3 linked regions of the Arabidopsis thaliana genome follow. The protein of the gene in region 2 interacts with the protein of the main gene of each other region in a pairwise test. Each region holds a gene or a part of one and is shown on either strand. Other genes may lie near its edges.

Region 1 (7,464 bases), on a different chromosome or scaffold from region 2:
CTTCTCAATATCCAAGTCAAATGAAACCCCATACATGATACATGTTTACAACAGTCACAGAAATATAATCCGTGGAATACAGTTAAAATACAAGAAGGATTTTTCTTACGTGCTCCATAATTTACAGACACAAAATAACTCAGATTACCAGCAAGTGAAACTTGGAAAGGAAGTGATGGGCATGGAAAAGCTTCTTCGTCACAGGATCATATTAACTGCCCGATTACTGAAATGATTGATTGCAACAAATCACACTTCAACGATAACTACCAGATATAGAAGCTTCAGTGATAAAGTATCGTCATGTTACTTACTAGGATTGATACTATTGCTAGATAAACAAGATACATCAAGAAAAGATAAATACTTTATGATTCTTGTTTTAAGATTTGGGAGATTTCTACTTCTAGAAAGCATTCCAAACAAAAACCAATCCAGAGAACTTAATGTCAAACAAATGTTATACTCCTATCCTTTCTAATCATGTAACTGTTCAAATTTCCAAGTCAAGCATGAAATATTCTATAAAGAATCAAGTTTGTCTATGTAACATAACAATTCTAGTTACTATCAACCTAAAAAGAGAGGTATTGTTAAACTATTACCAGGCAGGTGCTATTTGGTCTTACGAGACTCGATTAGTCTCCACATGTACCATGAACCAACAGACCTATAAGGACGCCATTTCTCACAAAGCTGCTCCATTTGCAATGGACCTGGAAGATTTTTCAAACCATAAAGATCTTTCACACCTTTCCTCACACCAAGATCTCCCACAGGCAACACATCAGGTCTATGCAACGAGAAGATCATAAACATATGAACAGTCCACACTCCAATTCCTTTAACCAAAGTTAACCTATCAATCAACTCTTCATCACTCATTTTCAGAATCAATTCATCAGAAAGCACACCGTTGTTGTATTTATCAGCTAGATCGTGGAGGTAACTAGCTTTTCTCCCGGAGACACCGATCTTACGAAGATCAACGGCGGAGAGTGAGATCACAGATTCAGGAACAACACCTGCTTCTCCACCGTTGAATAGAGAGATGAATCGATCGTAGATACATTTCGCTGCTTTCGTCGCGAGTTGTTGGTATAGGATTGATCTCGCTAAGGAGAGAAACGGAGTATTACTTGAGTCGAACAGTGGAGGATCGTTGTGCGTTGTGATTAATGCTCCGAGAAGTTCATCGGAGCTTTGTAAGTGACGTAGAGCGATATCAACAGTCGATTTTGTTGATAGAGGAGGAGACGCGGTGATAATGATCCTCGGCGACGGATCTGACGAAACTTTCCTGATTTTACGAGGACGAAATCTGATTCTAGAAGATGAACCAGAGACCTCTGAAACAGTGAGATTACCGGCGGAGATTAAAGAATCCGGCGGTAACGAAGATTGATTCACGGCGGTTAGGGTTTTACGGAGAGACATGACGACGGCCGAGTTTGTTAATTGTTAGTAATTGCAGAAATTCGAAATTTTATCACTCGCGACGATATTCTTCATTGGGCCTTAATGAAAATCGATAAGCCCATAATAAAAGCCCTGTTACAGTAAAAAAAATATGATCCAACATGTTAAGTACAACAAAACAGTTATTTCTTTGTCGACGCCTGAATTGAAAAAAAATAACGTATATTTTATATGATCGTGCAGAGAGAGATGGATTAAAAAGCTGGTTACTAGTACAAAACATGTTGCAGAATCGGTTCAGTAATAAAAAATCGGAAAAAGTAAGTAATTAAAAAGGAAGAAAAACAATATTCTTGAGAGCACATATTGACACGAACAAAAGGTCAAGAAGAGAGGAGTGAGTAAAGGACAAAACGACGGTCAAAATATAAAGGAGGAAGAAGCAGAGCATAATACGACAAATATATGTTCATTAAATCACTACAATGCTCTCTGATCCAAAACTGAAAACACAACAGTACCAAAACCCACATTGGTACGATCAGAATCTAATCTCTCCCCAATTCGACGATCAGATTTCAATCTTCACTACCAAACACCCTAATTTTTATTTTATTTTCTCTATTTTTTATTAACCAATAGTAAGAATATTATTATTATTAAAGTCTCAGTTGTGAAATTCAGGGACTCAGGTGGAACTGAAACTTCTCCGTTCAACTCTAAACTATATACATTAAAAGAGTTATATCCTATGTCTATATTTTTGGTCTGTGTGTTTTCTCTTATGCACATCTTTCATTTTTTGTTTTTCTTTCTAATGTTTTGATTACATCTGTAATGTTTTATGACGATCACTGTGTAATCAATAGAAGAATCTAACTATAGTGTTTATTTTATAGACTAGAGAAGAGAAGATTTCCATAAAAAGAAGGTTATATTTTTAAAATAAATATTAGAAAATGATTTTAAAAATTGACCAGAACGGTACTTTATAGATAAACCATAAGTTAGACCGTCACTATCAATAAACATCAACATCGTCTCTCGATATACACTTCTATTTTTTTCAGAAATATTTTCTTGGTTTTTTTTTAATTAGACATAATTAAACCACATGGAAATTTTAAGAGAATCTAACGTCGTTTTCTATTCTCCTTTCATCTGGTAAAGTCATGGACAAGACTTGCCCTATCCGCTACATTAAGCCTCCAAGAAAGGAACGGAACACCGCCGTGAGCACCGTCGGATTCAACGTTGTTTGCTACTCCACTGCCGTAATCATCCATGAACCTGATCTCATTTGCCGGATAATTACACGGAACCCTCTGCGTCGAGTGGTGATGAGCCCACGGAGTACCATTATTATTGTTGTTATTAGTGGCAGCATGGTAATTATTGTAGCCAGAGTTGTGATGCCCGTACTGGTCGGTTTGAACCGGTGCAGCTCCGACGACGGTGTTTCCTGTAGCCGCAGTAGTTCTTCTCTCTTCCTTCTTGAAACGAATGCCGCATGCGTTGCATAGGGACTGCAAATTCCAAAACCATCCATATCATCATTAGCCATCAATATATCTTATATTTAATGTTCGTTCAATACATAAATCTCTATATAGTGATGAAAATATTCGAAAAGAAAATAAATTAATGTCTTTTATTGAAATATCTGTTTTAAAACTTATATTCAAGTAAATTTACTGAACCATCAAAATCATTATTTAATGTTTCTTTCAATAAATTAAACTATAGAGAAAGGGATTTATTGGTTTTAGTGAAAAAACAGATAGGCAAATATTCAAAACAAAGGGATGAACTGTCTTTTTGGTTATTGTAAATCTTCATTTCATGTGTTGATTAAAAGAAGTTGCATTTTAATAAAAATTAAAATAAATAAGTCACCTTAGGGCCTCTAGGACCATTCCTCCATAGTGGAGTAGAAGTAGTGTCACAGTTGGCACAGCGTCTAGCGAGAAGAGAGTCACCTCCGCCACCGCCTCCTCCGCCACCACCACCACCGGAACAACCGCGACTTGGCTTGTTAGCGGAGAAAGAAGGAACGTTATTGTACGGTGCCGTTTTGGAGTTGTTGTTTTTGGTGTGAATCAAGTCCCAAAAGTTGGAGATGCAAGAAGAAGCACCAGATGAAGTAGAGCGTCTACGTTTCTCATCTTCCTCACAAAGCCTCGTAGAAGGAGTTCCAAGAGAGAGAGTGCAGTCAACGAGGGAGGAAGAGTGATGATAGTCCTCACCGTTCTGCTCGAAAACGCCACCGTTTTGCATGGAGAAGACCATCGAGTAAGAACCGGCGTTGGAGTTGTTGTTGTTGTTGTAGCAGCAGCTTTGGCTATGGTGGTGGAACATTCCACAAGAATGACAATATTGCCCCTGCGTTGAAGTAGTGTACGGAGTCTGCATCATCGCTCTTACACACTTCTCTCTCTCTCTACTGGTTTGAAAACCCTAAGTGTAAAATTAAGAGAAGCTAAAGAAAATATGAAGAGATAAGTTCAGTTTGCAGGTTTCACGTTGGAGTGAAGTGTAGAATGGAGAAGAAGGTCTCACACCTATATATAGAATCAGAAATGTATATGTACGCTTATATGCAGGTTTATATTAATACGAATAGTATTTAAAATCAATAGAATATGTGGGGACGCAGCTTTTTACGAAGTAATATTAATATATCATTTACTCAAATGGGTTTTCCTTGCTTTTTTATGTTTTATTAATTACAAAATACGATGAACGATGATACAGTATCAAGTTTCTTTAGGCAGCCAAGTTAACAAGTTAAAAGATATTTTAATCACAGTTTATTTTTTCTAATTACATAACACATGCTTGGTCTACATAGAGTCTGTGTCACTGTGTGATTGTTTTGAATAATTCAACTAAAATATCCCTATTTCAAGTACGTTATGGAGTTGATTAGCTTTTAGATAAGGATGCTAATATATGAAAATGTACCGTACATTATGAAAATGTCAGTAGTAAATAAAACAAAATATGATGGGAAGTAAAATAACAAAAAGTCGAAACTATGTAGAAAAACTGATCTTGGTTTAAAAAGCGAAGGGTTTGCTAGTTGTTGGACACAAAACTTTCAATCTAAAGATGAATAGGCTCGGTAACATATGCTAAAACAAAATCATTCATTGCTAGCTTCCAAATATCATAGATTGAAGTTTGGTTTAAGTAGATATGGTAAATCTTATTGTGATGGTGAAAAACATACGACTTTTGGACCATCAAGCACACAACTCTTATTAATTCGTTATTTCTTTTTGAAGCAATTATTATGTCACTCACACACGAATGTTTACTTTACTAGAACTATGATATTGTATGAAAAAATTGAAATTATCGATTTTGTGGAGGAAATTTAACAGAAAATAAAAAACGTAGAAGAAGAAGAAGGAGAGAGTGTGATGCGATGTTGATGGTCATTGAAGAAGGGTGGTCAAAATTTAGCCCACGTGACAAGGGGGAGAGAAGAGGAAGAAGAGTACAGTCATCACTGCAAAAATCTCCGATCACGAGGCTCATATTTTTATTTTTATTTGTTCTCTTTCAATATAATGCTATAAAACCTCTGTCTCTTTCCGTATCTCTGCCCTAAAACCCTGAATCTCACGCGCTCCTGCTCAGTTGCGCGTGGCCTCGTCCTTTACTTCTCCACATCGCAATCACACGTTCGATATCTGCTCAGCCTCATGTGGTTAATGATGATCCATGATGATGTAAGTAAAATGACTTAGATTTGGTTATTAGATTTCTTCAAAACTTGCAGCTAGCTAGAGTCTACTCTACTCTTGTCGTCAACGAATACTAGTCTTCGTCCCTATACAGAATTATTTTATTTTTTTGGGATTACGTATGTTAAATGCTTTAACTACTGTTACTAATAAAACCCTATTTTTATTGAAAACATGGACTCTCGATTGGTTGAAAAAGAGCTTACGCTAGGGGATATAATGCATTGGCCGATCTAATTTTTTTTTTTGCCGAACACTATTTTTTGAAAATTTTGTAATCAAACAAATAAAAGAAAGAAAGTGTATATTCAAAAAAAAAAAAAATTAAAAGAAAACTGTTGAAATAGTATATGTTTGTACGTTATAAAAACCGATCAAGAAAAAGATGACGGTTGTCCAAAAAAAAAAGGACCAAGATGCTGAAATCACAATTCATGTACTGATAACTAACACTTCACAGGGACGCGGTTAACCGAGTGCTTTGATATCTTGTAGTTGTAGATAATGTCTTGTTTTTCTATATCATTCTCTCCAATTTACTTAAATGCATATTGGGCATGTGATCAAGATGATTAGTTGCTCTTTTGTTTTCTTCTGTATAGGTCTCGTTCCAATTTCATCGGATGTTCCGATGGAACGATTAATTACTCTTCTATTGATGTTTATATCGGCTATTTGGACTAACAACCTATTTTATGGCAAATTTAAAAACATAAGAGAGTTGCTATATCAACACTAACCTTAGTTGACTCACATATCTTTTTCTAGTTCGCATTATTAGTCTCCCTACATAACCAACAATCTACAATGAGAATATCAACGCGATATTGATGTGTCAACCTTATATTTCATTAACACACAAAAAGCATTTTCTTGATTGCCATTTGTTCGAAAACATATATTTCTTCATATATGTGTATTTAAGATTGGTTGGTTCGACCTTCAAAATAATTTAGTCATGAAATCGTCTTAGTTTTACGTTTACTTACATTATTTTGTTTCTAATACTCTAGATGGTTTACCTAATGTCTACACAAAACATTTTTTTATAATTACATTCAGACTACAAGAGAGTATTATATTGTAGAGTATTTTACATGAATTTTTATATAATGTATTCGATCAAAATTTCGGTTTACTAGCTAAACAAAAACAAACGAGGCGGTGTTACTTATCGTAATATGCTGTATAATGGATTATATTTAATCAGAGATAAATTAAACATCTTCAGTATTCTCATGTAAAAATAGAAAAAAAAAATCCTCAATTAGTCTCACTAGAATCACTCATAGTCGTCGTATGGCTGAATAACGTATCGAAAACCATGAGAATCCAATTCTTATTGGGGTTTTTAATAAAGAGAAACGAATTTGGAATCATAATGATATGAGAATATCCAAGAAGATTTGGAAGAGGTTTAGAGTAACAAGAAAAATACTGCATGAAAAGAAAAGCTAATAGATTAGATTGTGAAGAACCCAAAAGATAAAGGGAAGAATCCCCTCTATTCAAGTGAAGTACCTTCCTACAATCATCAAAGCAACATACCCCCAATTAACCAATGCATACACATGTATGAGCTATACTCTTCTTTCTTTTAAAAATATTTATTCCACTTTTCATGTTTTCTTAGCTTAGCAAGAGAGAGATTCTGCTCTTGAATCTTGATGGGTCAAAGAAGGACTCTCTAAAAAGGAAAGGTCAAAGAACTAATAATACTCCCCATAAATTTGATCTTGAACTAGTGAAAAGAAACAAAGGAAAAGCTATTGGACCCACCTCTTAAATCATTATACCTAATAGTAATACCACATGATAACTTTTTTTTGTTCTCTATCGCCAAATTATAATGATATGGTACACATATATGTTTCCATGGATAATCACGGGGTTTTATAGTTCATCGAAATAGATATGTTATTTGTATATATGCTGGCAAAACAAAACATGCAATTGAGTTTCAAAAATATAACAAATCATGGTCAGTCAATAGCTGATTATTTTTGCATTCCAATACTTCATCGTTTTGTAGTATTATGTAGCTGATTATGTAGTCATCATACCTGAAAAAAAATCCTTGAAATATATATATGAAAAGTTATTGGTTATAACATTTCATTAACAGTAACATAATTTAAATATAAAATACTATATATATATATATATATATTGAATTGGTAAATCATTTAGCACAATTAATTATTTAACTATAAAAAATGGGATAAAATAGGAACTGTATGTAATTTATGACTATTTAAGAAACAATAATTTATATCTTTTTGTTATTATCAAT
Region 2 (7,572 bases):
ACCAGGTATTGCTCCAAAGAAACCTTTATTTGTTCTAACTTTTCTTTCTCTTGTCTTAGTAAACCTCATTCCAATCATGTAGGCTTCTGTAAGTGCGATGCCTTCCCCTGGGACTCAACCGTCAATGGGAACCAGCTCTGTTTATGGAATCACTCCGTTATCTCCCTCAGCGCCTGCTTATCAATCCGGTCCATCTTCTACCGGTGTTTCAAATAAGGAACAAACTTTTCCTCAGCGACCTGAACAACCTGAGTGTCAATACTTTATGAGAACCGGAGATTGTAAATTCGGAACCTCTTGCAGATTCCATCATCCTATGGAAGCAGCATCGCCAGAGGCAAGTACCCTCAGCCACATTGGCCTCCCACTTCGTCCCGTAAGTCATATATACGCCATTAATCATGAAATTCTCATGATCAAGAGTAGAGTTTTAGTAATGACTTATGAGAAGTTAAAATGGAAAACTCTGTTTCTTGATGTGATTCTGAAACTCTGTTTTGCAGGGCGCAGTGCCATGCACTCACTTTGCGCAACACGGTATTTGCAAGTTTGGGCCTGCCTGCAAATTTGACCACTCCTTGGGCTCTTCTTCACTAAGCTACAGCCCATCCCCTTCTTCACTCACGGACATGCCCGTCGCACCTTACCCCTCCTCGCTCGGCACATTAGCTCCATCATCCTCATCTGACCAATGCACTGAGCTTATCTCTTCCAGCTCTATTGAACCTATAACAACAACAACTGGTGGCTCAGAAACTGTGGCTGCTGGAGTCTCTTCTATGACCAGTGATGTGAGCCATCCCGAGCCTGCTGAGACCAATAAAGGTGATTCAGCTAGCAATGAGGCTAAGACTTCAAGTTAAAGAGACAAATCTTAAAGGAGAGAAGAGAATCTCTCTCTATTCTTCTTAGATTATTATCTCTCTTATTCTCTCTATATCTCTCTTCTTCTTTTCATCAAACTTTCATGAACTCAGGAACATAAAAAGGATATTTTTTGGGTGGAGAGACAACAACAGAAAGCAAAGCAGAGAGATAGACGAAAGGAGTTCTCTCTACTCTTCTATGTCATGTCTCTCCTCTTAGGTCTCTCTTACCATGTTCATATTATTCCTTCATACGGCCATCTCTCTGTCTTTTGTTCTTCTTTTTCTTTTTGGAAACGATGATTAATAAATGGCCTTATATATTCACAAAAATCCCCTGTTTATTTTTAAAACTTTATGGAATATGGGAATTAACTAATTAATAGTCCAATTTTTATAGACTTATGCTTGCGGATGTTTTCATGTATACATGTCAAAGTATTTTCTTTTTTTTAATAGAAAAGTACAACATGTTATACAGTAAACGCAACCTCAATATTCGTTTGAAGCAATCCGATTCTAAAGATTTGTTTGGAAGAGTAACAAGAAGTGGAAGAGCCTGACGAAACAGAAAGCAGAACAGAACAGATCTTAGGGTCACGTTTCTTTTTTTGTTCTACATTCCATTCCGTACGACGTTGATCATGAGATACAAACGTAAATATAAATGAAAAAGAAGTTAAAAAAAAAAAAAAACTACTGTTAATGTGGAAGTAGTAGTCAGTAATTCTCGTACTTGGTTCTTTGTGTTGGTGATATAACATGTGCATGTGTGTGGTTTGTTCGTTGCGTCTAGTTTTACTCAAACAACAGAAAAACCATAATCATGAGTTTGTTCACTGAAAACATCACAACTAAAGTTCTCAACAACCCAATAAAAACTACTCCTAATCATTAAATGCTTTTTCTCTGAGTTACTACTTAGATCTACCATAATTAAGACTGTTTAAAGATTAAAGATATACATGTCTTTATATACGAGTTACAGTAGACTTCACATAGTTGTGGAGATATTAATCGATTGTTTAATTCTTTTTAAAATTAAAATATCGATTGTTTTAAAATATTTTTCACATACTCTACAGTCTTTATCGAGTTAATTTATTTTTTTCTTATAGTAAAATGAACATTTTGCCTAAATCGTTATATATATTGACGCATGCAAAACAGATAATTAACAATACAAATTTCAGTAACTATTTGGAAGTTATTTAATTTGAAGCTAGACAAATTGTGAAGCATATATATATATGATGAATTCCCAACGTATATATGTTTGACTAGTATAACAGGATTGGATCTTTGTTGAGTTAACAAAAAAAGTGTATAGTTGATCAACATTGGAGAAGGCACTAATTGAGTTCTATGAAAGAAAGTCAAAAACCTTAAACAGATTTAAAAATGAAATAAAGAGTTGTGATGTTGAGTTGTTGTAGACAAAAGTTAAGGCAAAATATAGGCAAAAGGAGGGAGACATGAAACAGTGATTGTGCAATGAAATACCAAACAAGTCATGACCAAAACACATGTTTAACGACCAAAAACACCATCATGCTACTTCACTAAAAGTCCATCTCACATTCACTAATTTTAAATTTTAAATTTTATAACTTAGACTCTCAATTATGTTATAATTCAAACTAACGTCAAAATTTATAACTGTCATAAAATAATCATAATATCTGAGCACATACTGATCAAAAATAGAAAAATGGGGTATTTGCATCTGATCTTATAATCCTAATATTACATGTGATATATTAGTTGTTCACTCCGATCCTAGTCATTTATCCGTTTGGAGCAAGTCATTTGATTTCATTATTATTATAATATAGCACACTTATAAAATATACATAATGAGTGTGTCGAAGTAGCATGGACAAAAAGTGGTCTTTAATACAACTCGGATTATCCCTTTTTGCTAATCAAAACCATAATACAAATTAAAGAAAAAACAAATCAAAACTTCAAGGTAAGGTAACCTTATGATGCATGAAACAATAAGCAGGATTTATATAATAAAGTCGATAACATATAGTTAACAACAACAATCAAACGACCATCGAATAACGTAAATACTAATAATATTATTGCATATATAAAAAACATATATAATATAGAATGTTCTAAAAGACTGAGTAGAAGCCTGTAGTGTCTGCAACGACATCTCCAAAAGCAGCGATAGAAGAAGAAGATAAATCTTGCGGCTCCATCATCCCGTAATCTTCCATTGACATTGAAGCGGCAGCAGCACCATAGTTCGTGATCATGGCAGAGAGATCACACGAACCAAACTCATGATGATTCATCATCATCATCTCACCATCTTCGAAGTAGCTATTACTAAACCCTCCATATGGTTCAGAGGCTTTGCTTGCTACCGGAGTTGTGAAACTAGCTCCGGCTTGATTTTGGGTGGTGGTGGCCTCCGGAGGTGGTTTAAGGCAGTGGTTTGGGACAATGCAATCCAAGTAACCCGAGTTGTTATTGGACTTATTATGTTCTTCGCTTGTTAAAGAGAAGAAGAAGTTGTTTTCTTCGTCTAGTGAAGAAGATAACGAGCCGTTAGAAGATGAGTTTTGAGGACTATTACCAAACGCTTGAATATCCACGCTTTGATGACGAACTGGCGTTTTGAAAGAAGCCGCGGGTAAGACAGTTTGGGGGAGAGTGTGTTTAGGTTGTTGTGGTTGATGATAGTTTTGATAATGAGGATGATGATCGATGACAAACTGTGGAGAAGAGTTTGGTAAGAAAGATTGGTTGTTATTGTAAGGAGAGACAATGAGAGAGTGGAGATTAGGGTTTGTGAGGATGGTGTGGACATCAGTTGGAGTGTAGACGAAGTTGGTTCGAGCTTGAGTACCTCTCATTGAAAGAGCAGCTCTATCGTAGGCAAGAGCAGCTTCGTGAGCTGTGTCGAAAGTGCCTAGCCAGTGACGTTCTTTGGTGGTTGGATCTCTTATCTCGGCTGCGTAACGACCCCATGGACGTCTCCGGACTCCTAGGAACCTCCCTGGCTCCGCTTGCTTTGATCTCCGGCCTCGTCTCTCGCCGGTTGTGGTGGTGGTGGTTGTGTTGGCGGATGTGTTTTGGTGGATCAGAGCAAAACCCATTTGCGTTTGGGATGTTTCAAATGGTTTATTATGGTCTAGGGTTTTGGAGGTTGACATGATGATGAAGAAATGGTTTTTTTGAAAGGAGGTTTCTTTTAGGGTTTTGGTTAAAGATATCTTATGATGAGTAAGTTTTTTTTTGGCTTTGCTTCTGTCTAAAGATGATGGTGCTGTTTGAGAATGGAAGTGAAGTGTTGTTATAAATAGAGAGACAATGAGCTTGATAGAGAGAGAAGATAGAGAGACTTCACTTTTGATTCAACTGCTTTTAGTAGACCATCTTTTGTTTTGTTTCTTTTATTATATTTCCAAAGATATTATATTTTGCATCAACGACAAAAAAAACAAAAAAAAAAACGCTGACACATTAGTTGGATTTTTATATGGCTTAACCAGCTGAAATAAATTCATACAAATTTTAAACAGCTTAATTGACTGATTATTATTAAGGGTTTCTTTTTTTAAAACAGTCTTAATTTTAACTGTGTGTACAGTATATATATGTATGTATATACACGGATGGCTACTTATGAAAGCCTAAAACAGAGGCCAAGAATCATTGGAACTACAGCAAAATCTGGAATGTCACAGTAACCAATCTCGAGTTAGAAGAAAGAACAAGTAATAAATACATACTAAGTACCGAGTAACTTAAGAAAAGTAATTGTGATGTATATATTGCATCATCCTATTTGAATCTTCTATTTCAATGGGATCAAGCTAATTGATTAACTCAAATAATCTACTTAGTGGTCACGTGCAACATGCATAATAACCCTACATACCTTAGCCTAAAGGTCAAGGGTCTACGTAAAAATAATCGATATATTTCTTTAGGTTAAATCCCCTACTTAATTGATATATCCTTGAGATGATATGCATGCATTGCTAATTACGATAAGGATGTCCAATTAATTTGAGTGCACTGAGGTAGGTTCGATAATGTTATTTTCTAACACAATATATCAACAATTCAAAAATAAATATATTTCAAAATCAGTGTTAGTTTCTACAACCCCTGATCAAATCACATGGTTACCCGCATTTTAAGCGGAAATAGAAATGAGAACAATTTTGTCACCTTGTTCTGATTTTTCAATGGGAGTGGTTTAGAGAAAGACACGATGAACTAAACAAAAATTAAAATGCTTAGGAAGTACGTATAAATTTGGTTTTAATTAAATAGCTCAGTGGACAATTTTGTATTGATGTCCTTGTATGCAAAGTTGCAAACAAGCACAAGTCAACAACAATCTTAGTCTCTTTGTGTTTGTAGTTTTGTAGGATTATATATATATACATAGGAGCTTCGTCTATTTTCATATATGATTGCATTAGGAAGTTAATGCCTTACCCGACAACAGTTCTATTGATGAATCAAGAAAATTGCTCATAGTCAACGATAACACGACTGTTAAGTAAGAGTTCAAAGAAAAACAGAACAATTAGAAGATGACTATGAGCTCTAATCAAACTCTGGATTATTTAGTTTAGAGACTTTAATCAAACTTTTCAAAAGAGTAAGAACACTTACGTTTCAGTCATTGTGGAATTTAGATTGATATTTTTATGTATTCCATGTTCGAAAAAATGTATAATTAATAGAACGTTCTAGTTAATAAGAGAGTACATATTTTCATTAACTAATTAGTCTTGGGAAGAATACATATACAAAAATTCTTATAGTAGAACTCAATAAAGGCAAACATATAGATTTGGTGTGATAAGCTTTGATCTGTATTGAAATCTTTTTGGTTAAGTGTTAGTCTGTTAGATAATCTTTAGTATATCTAATTTGATGATGTTATAAAAGGCTAATGCTCATATATATGGATAAGTTAGTACTTTTGGTGTGAAGTACGTAATATGCAAGTATATATTAGCCTTTTTAGCAAAAACTTACGTAAATATATACGAGCATTAATAGAAATCCTGCAAATGACTACACAAGTTTTTGTAGCAAAAACAAATACTACGTCATATAAGCCACGTAAACCAACAATCAAATTAATTAGATTTGAATGAATACCTTGCCTTTTTAACCGAATGGGCTACGGTACAAAAGTGTGATGGACTCCTTGTATTAAGGGTTGGAAATGTGACGATTCTTGGTAAAGCTTTTTGCACATTGCTTAATGGCATTGGGAATGAAAATTATAATTCTTTTTTCATAGTATAAATGAGTCAAACTATTAATACTATAATATATGATGATATTAATTTTGGCTCTTTTAGAATTATATCTTTGACTAATACAACAGTAATACAATTGTGGTCGGACCACGATATAGTCATCATCTTCTGGTGCAACCGTTCCGATCCTAGCGATACAATTTACCAAACACACCAAAAATGTTGTGCGCCAGATATAACTCTACTGAAGTTTTATCAAAACAAAGATTAATTTTACCTAAATTTATATCGGATTATTAGGCCGAAATATAGAGTGGTACTATACAACTAATCAATTGTATAGGTAGGAATGTTTGCATCAAAACTGTAGGCAAATTTTACAGAACTTTAATTCGTGTCCGGATGTTACATAGAGTTCTAAAACGTAATGATTAGAATAAAGTAATAAATGCTTAATTGGGTGAATTTATTAATATATGTCATCCCTTTTAAGAATTGGGGTTAAAGACAAGCTTAAGCTATATAAGAATCAGACGACCCTTGACTACTCCACTAAGATTTTGAAGTTGATGTGGGACTAACCTTACATTTGATTATTTTTCCCGTATACATAAATTGTTTTTACGCATTATTACCACTGAAATTATAATTAGTGATAATGTAATTCAATCAACTATACATTGGTTTTTCTTAAATATGATAATTTATCTACACCTATATTCATTATATTTATCTAAAAGACGAAGATATTCTCGTATAAAATTGATATTATTTTGTCGAAATGTTTTGGAGTATTTATAATGAGTCAAAAATAATACATGAAAGTATAATTCACAGCAAGTCAGCAACTAATTAATACCTAAACTTTTGGTATTTATGCCTCATTATTTTAGTTCATCAAATTTGAAAAGGAATTTTATATATATACATATTGAGATTCATAAAAATTATAACTTATGAATATACAAAAAATACTATCCCATTGGTTAAATGGTTATAGTTCAATATTTTTGTTATGTTGCACGGGATAATTGTTTACTTATAAATGTCGACGTTTGCTATTGTTAATATAGAACTTACGTAATGGTTGAAAGATTTGAAGTTAATCTGAATTTTCCCTACAAAAACTCAGAGAGGCAAAAATAAACTATCTCTTTGTACGTGTTTTCAAAATATGGGTAAATAATTTAAGATAACATGTGATAATCCCAACTGGCTTTGTGCACGATATTGGGATTGCACTATTGAAGTATTGAACACTTTTGGGTGGAAATCTTTTTAGTCAAGTTCCATGTGATCGAGGCTTTCTTGGGTTTATGAATGGAGAATTTCTTCACATTTCTCCAAAAAAAGGCAAAGGAAATATTCAGAAAATTTTGAACAGCTAATGAAAAGCCAAAACTTTTTCTTATGAAATTTAATAAATTTGTTGTGATTTAAATTTTCTTTTGTGTCAA
Region 3 (7,841 bases), on a different chromosome or scaffold from region 2:
CCATTTCACGTCCTTGTCGCGATCTCTCCCAAATCTTCAACACTGATCCTTTCTAGCTCCTCCAAAGTCTCGTTTAAATTTACAAAAAACAGCCTTCGCAAAGGATTATGATTAGCACTTGATTATCTTAGTGACGTTCTCATTAATAATCATACTATAAAACTTGAATCAATCCGACATTAGAAGAGTCGATAAAGATCAAAGACTAGAGTTATCTTATTTTTATATTTTATTTGTTAAACTCTATTTTTGCTTTAAGAAAAGAATATCCTAATTAAGTGTAAATGAATGTACGGCCAACAAAAGATTTGAAGGGGCAAGATGGCTCTTGGGTCCTCACCTTACTCGAAGAATGATCACACAAAACCCTAAGAACCACAAAAAATGTAGACCAAGCTAAGTCTTATGATCATCTATATTAATAACAAAATCAATCGTTAGAAATTAGATAGTGATATTGATCCACAAGAAACTTATTCGATAAACTCTTGAATAGCAAAAGACTTGAGAAAACTAAAAGCAAGAAACAAACAATTGAGATTGTTTTTTAAAGAGGTTCATATACAAAATCTCTGGGGATAATCGGGACATGATGACATTCAGTTACAAAAATTTCCAAATATGTGTTGTAGAAATTAATATATCACTTTTTTTTCTTTTTTTGAATCATTGTAATGTAAAATTTATTAAAAAGTCTTTGGTTACAATATATGCAGCTTTAAGCATAACGTTTTTTGAGTTTCAGAAAATTAATATATCACTTTGTATAGTAATGTACGAAAAAATTCATCAAGAACTATGTACGGTTACATATCAAGATGTTATGGTCTAATGTGTGTTTACCGGTTGATAAAATGTTATTTGGTAGCTAATATTCAGCTAACCCTAGTTTTTGTTTTATTTGAGAGTCAGATAATCATGTATATATAACTTTTGCAAAAATAAAAATTGAAATAATGAGAAAATATTACTTTACTATTATCATTCATATATATATAACACACCAAAAAAAAAATCATATATATATATATATATATCCAAAAACAAATCACTTACTTAATTCTGTATTTTATCCAGAATCATTATGAATTAACACACCAAAAAAAAATCATATATATATATATATATATATCCAAAAAAAATCACTTACTTAATTCTGTATTTTATCCAGAATCATTATGAATACCAACTTGATTTTGATGGTCTTAATTAATTATTTGATATTCTATTTTTTTGTCGTTATTTGATATTCTATTTAGATTGACTAGTTTTCTTGTGATCATTTGATAATCCACGTCGTTTTGTTTTCACCTTCAAATTTTTTTATTGATCACCATGTTTTTTGGAATACACAAAGTAGTAAATGTTTCATAATCATGTGAGACCTAGGGTTTTAATTTTCAACTTGATTATTTAAGTTTAGTTATTCCTTACTAATTTAACTACCATTTTCTTGACATTCATACCAAAGACAAATAATTAACTAAAGTTTTGTTCGTTTTCGGAAGAAAAGTTTAAGAAAACATCAAGTGGACTCACACACACCGACTTAAGTGGAGAAGGTGATGAAAGTATTGGGCCCATAAGAAACTGCGGCTGCTCGTGGCTTTTGGCATTAAACACGAATCTTGCTAATGTTATTTTATTCTCATTATACTTGATGGATTCATGTTTATCCATCCATATTGTTATATTGTATTCCCCAAATTTTTAAAAAGCGAATTCGTCTAGTATAGTTAGCTCCATAGTTTAAAAGTAGAAAAAGAAATTTAGCTCCATAAATTTTGTAACTCATGATTAGACACTAATTAGATGTAAAAAACAGACGAGATTGAACGAATGATGATACCCGGTTGTTGATAAAACTTGAAATGGTCAGAACTAAAAACTTATATTTTTCAAAAATAACATAAAGAGTCCGGTGGTCGGAAAAGGAAAGGAGAGTGACGTGGACCACAAGCAATTGTTTGCCCACTAGTGACTGGCTGGTCGAAAGTATATTTAAAATATGTCCCACTTCATAAGATCTTCAAATCACTTCTTCTGTTCCAACAACAATCCATTCTCATTTCAACGTTTCAAAAGCAAACATGTTATTGGTCAATTTCATTGTTTCTACGCCATCATCCATAGAGCAACAATACCTTGTTGTTTTTATTAAACAAAATGTGAAGAAGAATAGAAGAACAATAAAAAAAGAGTGCTTTTGAAGATTCCACGAAGGTATGAAGTGTGACATAAACGGCTCTTTGCGTCGTCCAAAAGCCGCCTCCCCCAAAAGCTTTCCCTTTATAACCCCAACTTTTTGGGTTCAACCCAACTACATGCATTATATAATGCATATCTACTCTATACATACAATTACTTATATTATGTAATGCACCTTGTTTAATCTTTTTTAGAGTTTGTATTCATCCGGAGAATGTGTGGTAGACTAATCTTAAACATAGAAAGAAACACATGAAGATGTACATATGCCATTGAGAGTGTTGCGAAGAAGACCGTTGCAGTACTAGTATAGGATAATTTGAGATATCACAAAAAGATCATCACATCTCGAGGAATACGTACTATTGTGTTATACTATTACTAGGTATCATTAAACCATTGAATAACAAATGTAGTATCGAAAGACAATAAACCTGGAGATAATAAATGCTAATATTTTGTTTTGCGAGTAGTAATCAAGATGATTATCAAAATAGCAAGTTGTGTATGATTGTGTGTACATTACAACATGTTGGTCCTTAAAGAATCGAAATATGTTGGGTGCGAAGACTTTGCCGGTGCTTTGGATTTGGAGAGATGTATATTTTGACTCCGATTCGTGATTATTATTATTAATGTTGAATATGTCGATAAAAACAAATAATTTAGTAGCTAATAAGTATTGATTTATCGTACACATTATCATTGTTATCTTTTAATTTGAATTCGATGAGAATGATGATTAATTGATTATGAACTAAAAATAAAATAGTACACCACCGACGAATTATATCATTATTCTCTATTACTTTGGATAATTTCTCATAATTAAAGAGAGAAATAAATCACGTAATTTGCTACATTTCACAAAATATTAAGGGCTATTAATCCAAAAAAGGCCACAACAAAAAGTTACTCGAAATTACATTTTTAACCCTCATAACAAAAACGACGCCGTTCAAGCGAAGAGATTGAGCAACTTTGTCGTTGCTCCTCCTCCTCCTCCGCCGCAGCGTACGTACCGATCACCGGCGTTGTTGTTTTGAAACGAAACCGTGGTAACAGACTCCTCCGAGTACATCGACGGTGTATCTTCCTTAAACGGCAAGGTTTTAATCGGATAAATAGGAATAAGAGAGAGATCAAGCTCCGACGAAGGTTGTTGTTCCGACGATAATCGTTTCCGTTTCGGCGGAGAAGCTGTTGATCTTGATCTAGATCTAGAGCTTGAGAATCGGCAGTGATGATAAATGTTCCGATCACCGGAATCATCAGCTTTTCGTAGATTCAACATTTCCGTACAGATCTCCGAAGCTTCGTCGGAAGTAGGAGACGGAAACCCGGCGAATCCACCGCCGTTAAGAAGCTCCGGTATTGGTTTTAAAGAACCACCACGAAGCACCGTCTCAACCGCCGCTTGACAAACATTCCAATTCCCCGTCCACAACAATCCGACGGCTCCGTTCACCGGATTCACAGTTCTCCCACAAGCTTCGTATAGCAAAGACTGAAACAAAGCTGTAAAAAGACCAAATACCCTTACCATCAGAAACCAAAACGACAACGTTTAGACGAAGATCTAAAGGACCGAGAGGTTTTTGTTTTTAAGTACCAGGGCATTGAGATTCCGGTACGGCGGAGATGAAAGACATTAAACCGGCACGGCCGAAGAACTTAGCGACGAAGACGGTGGCGTGGCCTTGAGCTTCAGGTGATTCGATCCATTGAATACATGGACGGAGGATGCAATTCTCACTGCAACCTTTTCGTAGAACTCGACAACCATTGCAACTCATTATTTTCAGAAATCTTTTAAGTTAGTATTTTATCTTTGGTTTTGCTATAATCTTGGAGATTCAAAAAGCTTTTGGTACAAGAAAGAGAAAGAGAGAGAGTGGGACAAAGTGTTTCAATGTTTGGTTGAAGAAGAAGAGTTATGTAATATTTATAGACAATAGACATTGATACTTGAGTGAAGGAATGGGTCATGGCTTTGAGATTTTATTATATTTTAATAAAAATTGGATAATAATCAAAGTTTAAAGAGCCCTACCAAATTACAAAATAGAATGATTGCTACAAAATATATTTATTTTATCATTAACTGAATTTAATTTATGCTATAGTTTATACAAAAAAAAATGTTATGTTAGGTTTAATTATGAAAGTTAAAAATGGTGTGTGGTTGTTGACTAGTTGGTGATGAGGAGAGAGGAAGAAAGAGAGATTCCAAGGTGATGGGTGCGAACGGCTCCGTGTCCCCGCGAATAGTTGCCTCCTCAACCATTGGTTCTTTTTTTCTTTCTTTATAAATTTCTCATTTCTATTCTTTTTCATATTCTTTACTTGCTTCATTTCTATATAAATGTTTGCGTCATGCATGAACGATCTCGATTATTTGATGGCAGATCTCAATTCTATCTATCCAGTGTTTATTCGTTGACAAATTTTTCGAATCTTCATGTCTCAAACAAAAATCAGTGTGATTAACATATATTATCGATTATCGGTGTAAAGAAAAGAAAAAAACCTAGCTTCTCATCTAACAACAACAAAAAAAACACATAGATTCTCAAATGAAATAACGCACTTCAATTTCAAAATTGAGATTTATAACTAATTAGATCATATTCTCTCTAGTTCGCTATTATTTGTTGAGCTATATAAGTGCCTCTCTTAAACTATTGGTCTCTATGAGTTTTATAAATATAGATATGGTTCATTCGTTCATGCAGTACGTATACTTTGTAAACAATTTATTTATGAAACCAATGAGATTGTTTTGTTTAGGGTTAAGGCTAAGCTGACCCTTCAACGAAACAAATCCACTACCTGACCCTTAAATCAACCTTAAGGGTTTTGATAATTTAATATGAAAAATGTTTTAGAAGAAAGATAGAGGCGTTTTTTTGCCTACGATGCTGTCTCACGTGTGTGACCAAATCAAACATTTCTTTTCTCCTTTACATTAGCTAGTAACAAAATCAAATATATGATGAACAGAAGATCTACAACAAAATGATATTAATAAGTCAAAGTGTCTTCTTCTACTTTCCTATAGCAATGCGGTGAAACGGCGCCGTTCATGGCTTACGTGGTGTGCTTACCTACACTCCAATTAGGCAAATTTTCCACTGAATGCCGCCGTCTCTTTATATTTCTTTATTCCCAATTACTTCAGTCCATTAGTAATTTAAAAATGCATTATTGTTTCGTTGAACTTCTGGTACCTAAAGTTCATTTGCTTAATTAGTCGACACAAGACACTTGAACGCGACAGTTTTGATCAACAACGACATAAAATTGGTGTTAAACAGATGCTTAGATGTTCGATAAATCAACTACTTATTTTTACAACGGTATTCCTATTTTAAATATCAATCTTATAACATAATTTCAATCTCAATTTTTGAAAATTAGTATTGTTTTGTGGCCCTTCTTCCAAAAATTTATTTTCTGAAGTGAATGCAACAAGATAGATTTTACCTTTATATATTTAGTAAAATCAATGTTATAAAATAGATTATAAGTTAGACGTACGGCAGAACACAATAGAAAAAATATTATATATACTTCAATGTTTATGATGTACAGTGGGAAGTCATATTGCATACAATAGAAAAACCAAAACTATTTCTTTGAAAACAGAACAAAAACAATGTATGAGACTTGTAAACTATTGAGAAGAAATGAAAGAAATTGTCAAATAGAGGTTGCACAAATTGCATTCCTACTTACATTCATTGATGTTCATTATATTATGCTATAAAACCTAATTACATGGTTAGATAAGGTGGGTTTGTGGACTTGTATTTCATGAGTCTATGGACTTGTGTTGGGCTTTAACATGTCCTCTTTCACGTTGAGTTCTAAATGATTAAATACTGGGCTGTTAATTGGGATATAATTTCTCAGCTATAAGAGCCGGTACACTATGTCACTATGGGCTCTACTGCATTTTTCGTATGGTCCAAAGTCCAAACAATGAGTCTTTGGTAAATTAATAGTTTAACACCACTTTAACGGTACCATGCCAAAACTAATTTGGATGTTATTGTAACGCTCGAGGGCCTTATTAGGCCTTATTACAAGCTAATAAGCTATATACTATGCCCACAAAAATTGGTGAAATTCTTTAGTTTCTAAGTTTCTAGCAATATAAGAAGACAATAGTACAAAGAGAATGAATGACCAAATCTTACAGACTTATAACACAAGCATTAGGTTATAGCCTAATAGGTAATGTAAGATGTAAGTATAAGCAGTAAGCTGCACGACATATTTTCCGTCTTATTTAGCAAGGTATTATTATTATTTTTTCCCACACCATTTTAGATTTAAAATTTTTGCTTTTGTCTTTTCAAAGCCAAATCTTAATTTGACGAAAAGTTTATACCGAACCGCATAATATCACATATATAAACAACATTTTTAAGGGATGAGTTTTCTGAACTCTAAATAAAAATCGGTTGACAAGAAAAAAACAAATCTTAAAATAATTCCAAAAATTCTTAACCATCAGATACTACAATATAGTTATAAAGAATAATTATAAGTCAATTTTTTGTGCCACCAAAAAAACAATATTTTCCCGGCATTTAATTCAGAAAATACCCAATATCCATATTTTTCTCGGAATGTATAACTACTCTTTTTCTTAGAAGATACATAAGAACTGGGATCGATTAAGACGTGTAAGATATTTATCGTAACAAATTATACAATTAATTAATTATTAAAAGACTCGTAAAACTCGTGAAAACGAAATAATACAGAATTATAAAAATAATTTAAGCGTGGAGGGAAGTGTGAGTGCCAACCAATCAAAGTCGACAAGCCACTTAAGGATTAGCTTCGTTAGGTACTACTAACCGATCTATCACTACTTCAATAATTAATACTAACATAACCCAAAATTAATACTATTTCTCCTATCAAATTATGTTTTTAAATAGAAATCTGAAATGTTTAATCAAATAGTTAAATTCTTAGGAACAGATCACTTCAAGCTGGGAGTGACAGATTCAAAGAAGTGGTTCCTTTGCTTGCGGAAATAGTAAATGAAAAATTAATCAAGTAATGAAGAAAAACAACAGTAGGAAGTTTCCATGAAATAGTAGTTTTCAATTTTCATTAATCCAATTCTTTTTATTATTAACAAAATTAATAATAATTTCAAATATATCCTTTTTTTTTTTTACTTTTTATAAACAAAAACCAACAACGAATAAACATTTGAAGATTATTTTCTTTCCATATACGTAAACAGAAATTAAAATAATCCAAAGTCCACTCCAATCATTTTCATTACAGACTCAGCTAATGATCAACCACTAGCTAATCCCGATCGGTAAAAAATAATAATAATCACAACACCGACTTTGTTTCTTCACCGGAGAGTTGACTTTTTCCAATTGTCTCATCACTAACTTGATCAGCCGGTAAATTTAGGTCAAACTTGTGGCTATTGTCACCGTTACTGTTACCGTTACCACCATCATAGTGACAACGTTTGTGACCACCCAATGCTTGACCAGAGGGAAACGACTTAAAACATATAGAGCAGTTATGAGTCTTCCCACTTTGACCAACTAAACCGTTACTAATATTTCCGTTATTAGTAACGGTTCCGT

Evidence for each region. Proteins that work in one complex are often made in the same cells at the same time.
Region 1: the proteins of PUCHI (region 2) and MNP interact in a two-hybrid assay, tested with the Arabidopsis thaliana proteins (one large-scale study listed by BioGRID).
Region 3: the proteins of PUCHI (region 2) and LBD38 interact in a two-hybrid assay, tested with the Arabidopsis thaliana proteins (one large-scale study listed by BioGRID).

The regions. Positions count from the first base shown.
Region 1 is NC_003074.8:18,907,482-18,914,945, reverse strand, and holds MNP (GATA type zinc finger transcription factor family protein), read right to left. Parts: upstream 4,000-7,464; 5' UTR 3,835-3,999; coding exon 3,316-3,834; intron 2,946-3,315; coding exon 2,577-2,945; 3' UTR 2,338-2,576; downstream 1-2,337. Other genes in the region: AT3G50880 (DNA glycosylase superfamily protein), read right to left, coding at 616-1,437. UniProt on the Arabidopsis thaliana protein: Transcriptional factor that specifically binds 5'-GATA-3' or 5'-GAT-3' motifs within gene promoters (including its own promoter and GATA21 promoter), thus regulating the expression of genes mostly involved in hormone responses and floral organ specification (including genes regulating hormones responses).
Region 2 is NC_003076.8:6,161,867-6,169,438, forward strand, and holds PUCHI (Integrase-type DNA-binding superfamily protein), read right to left. Parts: upstream 4,175-7,572; 5' UTR 4,040-4,174; coding exon 2,993-4,039; 3' UTR 2,660-2,992; downstream 1-2,659. Other genes in the region: AT5G18550 (Zinc finger C-x8-C-x5-C-x3-H type family protein), read left to right, coding at 1-5, 83-376, 504-863. UniProt on the Arabidopsis thaliana protein: Probably acts as a transcriptional activator. May be involved in the regulation of gene expression by stress factors and by components of stress signal transduction pathways.
Region 3 is NC_003074.8:18,510,628-18,518,468, reverse strand, and holds LBD38 (LOB domain-containing protein 38), read right to left. Parts: upstream 4,204-7,841; 5' UTR 4,005-4,203; coding exon 3,821-4,004; intron 3,727-3,820; coding exon 3,167-3,726; 3' UTR 2,338-3,166; downstream 1-2,337. Other genes in the region: AT3G49930 (C2H2 and C2HC zinc fingers superfamily protein), read right to left, coding at 7,576-7,841.